Linked DNA regions of Yarrowia lipolytica. The protein of the gene in region 1 purifies or fractionates together with the protein of each later gene. This does not show direct contact. Links are inferred from orthologs where the notes say so. Each region holds a gene or a part of one and is shown in the gene's direction. Other genes may lie near its edges.

Region 1 (3,756 bases):
CTATCTGGCTGGCCTGGCCTCTTTCACGGCCTGGGAGCAGGACAAGGAGGACCTTACACACGCTGTAGCCGCAGCTTCTGCCTTCCAGCGAGCCTCCAAGCTGTACGAGAAGCAAACCAAGCAATTTGGCGAGGCTTCTTGCGACCCAGAGGTGGTGCAGCACATTCAGGAGATGTACGCCAAGCTGCCCTCCGATCTGGAGATTGAGGAGGACAAGAAGGAGGAGTATGACGATTCTTGGGAAAAGGAAATTGTTTACGAGGAGTAAATAGGATAGTTTTGATAGACTTATATGCTAAGATGAACATGGCGCAGAAGGAGGGTAGTCTGGGATCACCAACTGTTTGAGGAACGATCCAGAGTTCAGAAACGCCAAAACCGATGGCACGGGAAGAAAAGAAATGTCTGTAGCAGCAAAACAATATCATGTGGCATTTCTTTTGAGTAAGTATATCGCCACCAAGGGGCTTGTCTCCACTTCGTATTGAATCGTGTGCGTGTAGTGCCCAGCCTTGCAACAACAGTACTATCACCCTCCTTTTCTTCCCATAGGCAATTCTTATCATGTAAACGAGTTTATGGTCTGTAAAAGGTGGCTTCTGAGCATTCATCAATATCTCAAAAAATCTCCGCCTTGTCTACTAAAAGTGTGTGTCCTCTTCTACTACAAGTAGTACCAGTCCCGCCAGTCACCACTGGTGTAGAAAAACCGTGCATAAAGTTTTGCCAAAGTCTAAAAAAATATTGTAAGACGCACGGAGCGATATATCTCTGCCATCCATTTTCAGAACCACACAGTATGGGAAAACGAAGCAAAAGCAGCCGGTCCGGGCGAACCACGACCGCCGGCAAGGTGTTTTCGTCCAAGCGAGCCACGTCGTACAAAAACGAAACCGAGCCCTCCAAGCCCGTACCCAAGTCTCGAGGCAAGCATGCTCTGTTGAACGCCTTTGAAATCGCCGAGGCTGAGGAGCGAAAGAAGGCCCGTAAGAACGGGGAGGAGTACTCCGACGACTCCGAGGATCACGACATTGACGATGTTTACGATGACGGTATTGTTCGGTTCAACAAGGACGGAACTAGAAAGGTGTATCAGCCTGGCGATGAGGAGGAGGAGGAAGACGACTCGGAAATCGACTCTGACGAGGCGTTTGGCTCTGACGACGGCGACGAGGAGATTCTGGACTCTTTCGGCGTCAAGTCCAAGGCCAAGGCCAAGTTCAAGGCCATGGAGGACGAGTACGACTCTGTGGACGAGGAGGAGTTTGTGGATCTTTCCGAGGCCTGGGATCTGGACGATCGTCAGCAGGAGAACCTCAAGAAGAAGAGCGGTGAGAAGGCTGCCCAAAAGGAGGATGCAAAGAAGAGCTCAAAGACCAAGGCTACCACTTCTTTCAATCTTCAGGAGGAGGAGGATGACGAGTCACATGGAGATGATGAGTCTGAGGAGGGAGGATCTGAGCAGGAACAGGATGCGGATTCCGAGGACGTTTCTGACGGAGAGGAGATCGACTCTGATAACGACGACGATTCTGATGACGGTGACGACGACTCTGATGAGGAGGACTCGGACGGATCTGTCTTTTCCGATATCGATACCGAGTTTGATGAGGAGAAGGCCGACAAGCTTCGATCTCTCATTTCCAACATGTACGAGAACGACGAGGATGCTGAGTACGAGAAACGACGACGATACGAGAACAACAACCAAGAGGAAAATGAGTTTGGCGTGACAGTGTCGAAAAAGAACAATGATGGCAAGCTGTCTCTTTCGGACCTGACTTCAGGTGTGGACAAGAAGGCAGCTGCTAGTCTGTCTCTTCTTGGCAAGCCCGACGGCAAGTCCAAAAACAAGCCCCAACATGTGGCTGTGCCTCTCAGTAAACGTCTCCAGGACAAGGTGGAACGTAAGGCAGCTCTTGATCTGACGCGAGAGGAGCTGACCAAGTTCGACGACCTGATTGCCCAGGACGAGGATGCTGAGCATCTGGTTTTCCCCCGTCTTCCCGTCTACGACTCTGATGAGGAGGCCAAGCAGCTGCCCAACACCGGTATTTCTGCGCTGGCCCCCGAGAGTGCTATGGAGAAGAAGATTGCCGGTATCCTCAAGACTTCTGCTCTTGCCGACGAGTCGCAGGCACAAAAGTTTGAGGAGCTGGCCACCAAAAACATGTCTATGGAGGAGCTAGCTGCCCGACGAAACGAGCTTCGACGAATGCGAGAGCTAATGTTCCGAGAGGAGCAAAAGGCGCGGCGAATCAAGAAGATCAAGTCCAAAACGTACCGAAAGATCCACAAGCGAGAGCGAGAACGGCTCCGAGACGCCATGATGTCCGACGAGGAGAGTGACCAGGAGGACCACGACATCAAGCGAGCTCAGGAGCGAATGTCGCTCAAGCACAAGAACCAGGGCAAGTGGGCCAAGCGAATGGTATCGCAGGGTCTGACCAAGGATGCCGAGACTCGAGGAGAGATGGAGGAGATGCTTCGACGAGGTGAAAGTCTGCGAAAGAAGATGTCTGCTCGGGACGACAACGATGGCGACGAGCAGATTGACTCTAATCTGGGCGACGACCAGTTTCTGTCCCAGAACAGAGACGCTCTGGTTGATCCTGATGAGCCTGCTGAGGGAGCTAATCTGGGCAAGGGTCTGCTTGGCATGAAGTTCATGCGAGAGGCTGAGGCTCGTCAGAAGACGGAGAACCAGCAGCGAATCCAGGAGCTCGATCGAGCCAAGGCCAACTGGGAACTTGGGCAGAGTGACGACGAGGACGAAGGTCGAGTTGACACTGCCAACGAGATTCTCAACCAGGGTCGACGAAAGTACGCGCCCGGAACCAAACGGTCTATTGCCGATGTGCTTGCTGTCAAGATTGACTCTGAGCGAAAGGCTGATCTTCAGTCTGATGATGATGAGGATGATAATGACGACAGAGATAACGACAACGTGACTACTGTGGTCAAGAGCGACAAAAAGAAGGAAGGAGGTGCACAGGACGACGATTCTGATTCAGATGACGACGCCTCCAACCCCTGGTTCACCGAAACCAACATCCACAAGAGCAACAAGGTCAAGCCTGTGATGGAGGCTGAGGCTTCTGCACGAGACCGGCTGGCCCACAAGGTGGCCAAGCATCAGAGCCGGGTGGTGGAGAGTGCGAAGAGCAAAAAGGCCCGCAAGCAAGATAACATTCTCATTGACACTTCCGATACTCTTGATCTCGTGACTCAGGATCGAGAGGCCGACACTGACAAGGGTATCTCTTTCAAGCAGGATATGATCAAGCGGGCCTTTGCAGGAGACGATATCGTCGAGGAAGAGTTCATGGCCGAAAAGAGACAGCGAATCGCCGACGAAGGAGATCAGGAAATCGACATGACCCTGCCCGGGTGGGGAGGCTGGGGAGGAGAGGGCATGAAGGCGCCCAAGAAGCGGTTTGTCAAGAAGATCCAGGGTGTGGCCGTCGAGAAGCGTCAGGATCGAGATCTCAAGAACGTGATCATTTCGGAAAAGTCGGACAAAAAGTCGGACAAGTACCAGGTCAAGTCGGTCCCCTATCCCTTCGAGTCTGTCGAGCAGTACGAGGCCTACCTCAAGATGCCCATGGGCCAGCAGTGGACCACGGAGACTACCCACCAGAAGCTCATCAAGCCCCGAGTCATTGTCAAGCCCGGAGCTATCATCAACCCTCTGGATGCTCCTCAAAAGTAGTGTCCTTCATTCTAAAATCTCGTCAGCCATATATAGAGGCTTGG
Region 2 (3,756 bases), on another chromosome or scaffold:
TATTCGACGTTGTCCTCAAAGTTCTCAACGAGGTTGGGGATCTCGTCGTCACCGGCCTCCTTGGCGGCGTCAGGGCCGCCGGCAGTCTTCTTTGCCTGCTCCTGGAGCTTGGAGAACTGAACGGCGGCCTGCTGCAGCTGCAGAAGAGCATCCTGGCCCATCTGGGGGAGGATATCAGGGATCAGCTCAGCAATGTCCTTCTGCTGGGAAGGACCAGAGATAGCAAAGGTGTTGGAGGCGACGGAGCCCTCAACGTGGACCTTGGGGAAGTGCAGCACGGTGCCGTCCTCCTTGAACATGTTGACCTCAGAGATACCGGTGATCTCCTGGGCGTTGAACTTCTTGAGGGTGGCGGACAGCTTCTTCTCGTCCTCAGAGATGTTTCGGCCAGCAACCTTCTTGCCGGGTCGTCGGGGAGTACCCTTTCCACCTGGGTTAGTACGTGTACGTTGAGAAACGTTGCGATCGTACCCGGACACGGGTATTGACGGGCGAATGGCTCACAGGATGATCAATCATTGTCATCCCAACTCGATCAAGGCCACCCCGCATCCTTCCATGTGATCGTTTATGAGTTCGATCTCGTTTGTATCCATTTTTTCCGTCCATTTTTCCACGCAGCGGTTTCGGACAAATCCAACGCCGCCAATTCAGAGATACTCACCGGACTGGGCACCGGACTTCTTCTGGAGAGCTGCGAGCTTAGCGGGATCAACAGGCATTTTGTGTGGTGTTTTTGGTTCTAGCAAAAGCGACAGTGTATATCCAGTGCAAGTTTTTTGTCATCCGCGTGCTCAGATATACAGTTCGGCATCAAGCCCTACCCAGTTGGGACGAACCGAGGGTAACCACTCAAGAGCAGGTGCAACGAGGAGGCCGCTGCGGTCACGTGACCGCATTTTTGCGGGCGACCCCCGGCCATTGGGATGGTCCCGTGTTGGCGGGTGGCCTTTTTTGGTGCTATTTACCCACACATTTACTTGTCTGGGGCGTCTGTCCTGTCTCTTCCCTTCAGGTTTTGGGATTTTGAGGGGAACAAGCATTCACCTTTTTTAGAGTAGCTAGCTACCCCAACCCGTGAAGTTTATTCCGGGAGACTTGGGGTGGAGTTTTGCGGAGGATACAGCTGTGGTAGGCAAAGGGGGGAGTCTCCGTTGTGTTCAGCTGGCCAAATTGTCCAGATAAATGTTTTCCACGAAATTTTTCAGACAGGTTATGAGCTGCAAGGTTAAAATATTTCCCGAGCTTATTCAAGATATTTTCAAAGTCAGCATCTCAGATTTCAACCCACAATCCACAACACCGTGAACGATGGCCAAAACGAGTCAGCTCAAGCGGCTCAAGGAGACGCTCAAGAAGAACGATCTGACGGGCCAGACTAATGTCAAGGGCAATAAAAAGAAGATGAACAGCGGCAAAAACCGCCAGGACAGAGACAAGGTGCTGTCTGACATCCGGCAGCAGTTCAACCCTTTCGATGTCAAGGTGGCCAGGAAGAAGCATGATATTGGAGGCCGAACCGTACGGGGCAGTGTGGGACGACCTGGACTGTCCAAGCTCAGTGGCGAGGAAGCCCGTATGGAGGCTCGAAAGCTGGAGTTGCAAAACAAGGGACGGGTTGGAGGAGTGTTTGACCGGCGGTTTGGAGAGGGTGACTCCAACATGAATCCCGAGGAGAAAATGCTGGAGCGGTTTACGCGGGAGCGACAGCTTCGGTCGATGGGTGGTGGTCGAAACAAGTCGATTTTCGCTCTTGACGATGACGATGACGACGCCGACGCTGATATGATGCTGACTCACTCTGGTCAGGCTCTTGATTTCAAGGACGATTTTGATCAGGGCGATCTGGGTATTGAGGCCGAGGAGGACGAGGAGATGGCAGCCATTCTTGCCAACCGACGCAAGCTAGCAGAGGAGCGGGGTATGGGTGCTATGGGAGTCAATCTGGAGGAGATGGACGGAGTTGATATGGAGGAGGCGGGCACTGGCCGAAAGAAGAGCAAGGAGGAGGTCATGAAGGAGATCATTGCCAAGTCCAAGTTCCACAAGGCCGAGCGACAGGCAGCTCGTGACAAGGACCAGGCGATTATCGAGGAAATGAACGACGAGGACACCATGAATGCTCTGATCCGGGAGCTGGGATCTATCAAGGCCAAGAAGGTGGTGACAGCTCTGGACCAGAAGGAGAAGGAGTACGACCAGAACTTCCGAAACATGATTCTGGACCGTCGAGCCAAGCCTCAGGACAGAACTAAGACTGACGAGGAGCTGGCCAAAGAGGAGGCTGAAAAGCTCAAGAAGCTGGAGGATGAGCGACAGGCCCGAATGCGAGGCGAGGTTGCCATTGACCAGGGCGAAGGCGATGATCTGGACGGCAATGTGGCGTTTGACTTTGAGAATTCCGAGGAGGAGGGTGAGGATGATGAAGACGAGGCCGAAGATGATGATGATGAAGATGTTGAGATTCATGAAGTAGATGAAGACGAAGATGAGTCTGGCGATAAATCTGGTGATGAATCTGGCGAGGAGGAGACTACAAAGTCCGAGCCAGCCTCAAAGTCTTCCTCCTCCACTCTAGCATACACATTTCCCATCCCCAAATCACACAAGATGTTCTTGGAGACCACATCGGCCTACCCTCTGGACCAGCTGCCCACCATCATCGACCGGATCAACGTTTTGCATCACGCCTCGCTCAAGGAGGGCAACAAAGAGCGTCTAGCCAAGTTTGCATGCGTGCTCATCGACCATCTCATGTACCTCGCCGACGAAGAGGAGGAGGACGACTTTGAGTGTTTGTCTGAAGTCGTCGCTAAAGTGCACACTTTGGCGGAAACTCACAGTCCTACTATGGCTGCTCACATCAGAAAGAAGTTGGAGGCTCATCAGGCCGACACTACAGTTACGGCCGGTCATCTCATGCTGTGGACTTTGATTGGCATGATTTTCTCCACGTCCGATCATTTCCACCTGGTTGTGACGCCTGCGGTGCTCGTTATGACCCGTTTCCTGTCTCTGTCCACCTTTGACTCCATTCCCAAGTGCATTGCCGGGCTGTACACCGCCCAGCTGTTGATCCAGTACCAGCGAATTGCCAAGCGGTTCATTCCCGAGATTGCCGTCTTCCTGGGCCGTCTGATTGCTGCTCTGGAAGGCACTGAGACTTCTCTTCCCATGGCTTCTCTTTTCAAGATTGCTCCTATCAAGGGTTTCACTCCTGGTAAGGCTTCCCACAAGTCTACCGATAAGACCATCTCAATGAGATCAGCCAACCGATCCATTCTGAGCAAGAAGGAGGTGGCCACGCTATCTCAGGAGCTCCATAACCAGGCCGTGTTTTCCGTCTCCAAGCTCATGGACACATACAAGGACATTTCAGCCTTCCCTGAGACTTTCGAGTTCTGCGAGAACATTCCCGAGCTTGCAGACAAGTATAGCCGAATCACCAAGTTCAAGTTGGCTGACCGAAAGCCTCTCACTCTACACAAGCACCGACCCCTGGCCATCAAGACCATGGCCCCCAAGTTCGAGGAAAACTTCAACGTGGACAAAAAGTCGTACAACCCGGATATGGCGCTACAGGAGACCCAGAAACTTCGAGCCGAGCTCAAGAAGGAGAAGAAGAGCGCGCTGCGGGAGATCCGAAAGGACGCCGCCTTCGAGGCCCGAGAAAAGATCCGAGAACGACGAGAGAAGGACGACGCCTACCACGAAAAGATGGCTCGACTGGTGCGATCTGTGCAGACCGAGGAGGGA
Region 3 (2,233 bases), about 1.4 Mb from region 1:
TGAAGCGGAATTATTGAAAAGAAGATAAATAGAATGTTTAGTCTGTCTCTCCACTTCAAGTGACAATCCCTTCTTTTATCCAGCATTCTAGAGCATGTTCAAACTGTTGGATCTGAGCCGTTCGGGAAAAGTCAGACCCGGAGCCTGGCGAAATATTCTGTCAATTATACAATACTTTCGTAGTACTCTTTTTTGATTCCTGGGAGCTCCCAAATCCGATAGGTCTTTCTGATCATCACTGTCTCCGTATAATTCGTTTTCCATGGAAAAATTACATTGATTGTCACTGGGTGGAAGGATTACAACGATTGTCATTGTGTTGGACGGGGCCACAACAATTCTCGAAAGCAAGTTTCTGTAGAAGTAGAGGAGTATCAGAGGAAACTATCGACCGGAAAATCACCAGTTTACATATATTCTTTTTGAGGTGCTTCCACCATTCGCCAGCATATCCTGACATTGAAGGCCATTTGGTCTACAGTGAAGACATCTCACAAGCACTCCCAACAGTTAGTTGAACACAACAAATGGCAATAAATGGGTCCAAACTGTTCATAATTTGACCGGAGAAAGCGGAGAATGATACAATGGTGAATTTTACATCTTTATCCGGGACCTTTCACTTCTTAAAGTGTCACATATAGCTTTTTATTGGCCACATGATATCCCTGTGGCCATCGAAATAAGTTTTCAGATTAAGCTTTTTCGTGGAAAAGAATTATGCATACAGATCTTTTTTTTTGTCAGTCTTCCCACAACCTTTACATCACCGCCACAAGCCCAGCATGATCAGAAGACAGGCCCGAGAACGGCGAGAGTATCTCTACCGAAAGTCGCTCCAGCTGCAGGAGGCGACCAAGATCCAGAAGCGGCAGCAGTTGAAGGCGGCGCTGGCCTCCGGTAAGCCGTTGCCCAAAGACGTGGCTGACGACGAAGAGCTTCGAAAGACCATTGCGTACGACGAGTCTGTGCAGGATGAGATTGACGACGAATATAGCGCCATGAGTGGCATCACCGATCCCAAGGTGGTGGTGACGACTTCTCGAGACCCGTCGACCCGTCTGTCTCAGTTTGCCAAGGAGGTGAAATTGCTGTTCCCCACTTCTATCCGGCTCAACCGAGGAGGAACCGTGTTGCCGTCGCTGGTTTCGGCTTGCAAGACGTCTGCTTCATCGGATCTCATTGTTTTGCACGAGCATCGAGGTGTGCCTACTGCCATGACGGTGTCCCATTTCCCCCATGGCCCCACCGCCTACTTTTCGCTTCATAACGTGGTTCTTCGACACGATCTGCCCGATACCGGCAACATGAGCGAGGTGCACCCTCATCTCATCTTTGACAACTTCACCACCGACCTGGGTAAGCGAGTTGTGCAGATTTTGAAGCATCTGTTTCCTCCCGGAGTGAAGAAGGACTCAGCTCGAGTCATCACATTTGCCAACCGAGGCGACTTTATCAGTGTCCGGCAGCATGTCTACGTCAAAACCCGGGAGGGTGTTGAGCTTGCTGAGGTCGGACCGCGGTTTGAAATGAGACTCTATGACCTGAGACTGGGCACTCTGGAGAACAAGGATGCCGATGTCGAGTGGAGAATGCATGGATTTATGCGAACTGCCAATAAGAAGGATTACCTTTAAGTGGCAAGACTGAAGGTCTGAGTGGACAAGAGCCGATGAAGGCCTACTGGACGACTTATTGATCGCTGGAGGAAGTAATATCTTGTCAGCACTTGTGCGGTTATGACAGCTTTTGGAAAGCAGTTACAGAAATACAGGGAGTTTGATAAAATGTCAAAAAATGAGTCGGTTTTATCTGAACCACCTTTCTCACGCTGACTCGACATCAGACTGTCCACCGGCTGGCTTCAACACAATACTGTGTGTTCATACACACTGATAGAAAGGATATAGTATTTATGAGCATATTAATAGTGACAGAGTGTAGAAGTAAAGCTCCACGTACAGTTTCCAGAAGAGTTTTCAGAAGAGTGGGGTTTTGATGTTCTTGAATGTTGGGACGAGGTTCGGAGGTGTTTTTCGTCTGAACCTCAGCATCGTCCAAATGCTCTAACAAGCCCAGAATTGGTGTCAGACTGATCGCAAAACTCTGCTCGTTCCAATGGTATGTTCCATAATACGCCTGGACCATTATCCGTTGTGTACTGTACTGTACTGTAGTCGTGCGTTTCCTCCACCCCTGAGATTTCACTTCTAACCTGTTCTCGAAAGGTGTT

Evidence for each region.
Region 2: the proteins of YALI1_D16656g (region 1) and YALI1_F11781g purify together in Saccharomyces cerevisiae (affinity purification with mass spectrometry, with the first as the bait; 3 studies listed by BioGRID). This does not show direct contact. The link is inferred for Yarrowia lipolytica from reciprocal best matches to the Saccharomyces cerevisiae genes UTP14 and NOP14.
Region 3: the proteins of YALI1_D16656g (region 1) and YALI1_D30922g purify together in Saccharomyces cerevisiae (affinity purification with western blotting; 4 studies listed by BioGRID, with this or other methods). This does not show direct contact. The link is inferred for Yarrowia lipolytica from reciprocal best matches to the Saccharomyces cerevisiae genes UTP14 and IMP4.

Annotation. Positions count from the first base shown.
Region 1 is NC_090773.1:1,662,703-1,666,458, reverse strand, and holds YALI1_D16656g (uncharacterized protein), read left to right. Parts: upstream 1-799; coding exon 800-3,712; downstream 3,713-3,756. Other genes in the region: YALI1_D16672g (uncharacterized protein), read left to right, coding at 1-268. UniProt on the Saccharomyces cerevisiae protein: Involved in nucleolar processing of pre-18S ribosomal RNA.
Region 2 is NC_090775.1:1,175,701-1,179,456, reverse strand, and holds the start of YALI1_F11781g (uncharacterized protein), read left to right. Parts: upstream 1-1,311; coding exon 1,312-3,756. Other genes in the region: YALI1_F11787g (uncharacterized protein), read right to left, coding at 1-430, 665-722. UniProt on the Saccharomyces cerevisiae protein: Involved in nucleolar processing of pre-18S ribosomal RNA. Has a role in the nuclear export of 40S pre-ribosomal subunit to the cytoplasm.
Region 3 is NC_090773.1:3,090,753-3,092,985, reverse strand, and holds YALI1_D30922g (uncharacterized protein), read left to right. Parts: upstream 1-785; coding exon 786-1,637; downstream 1,638-2,233. UniProt on the Saccharomyces cerevisiae protein: Required for the early cleavages at sites A0, A1 and A2 during 18S ribosomal pre-RNA processing.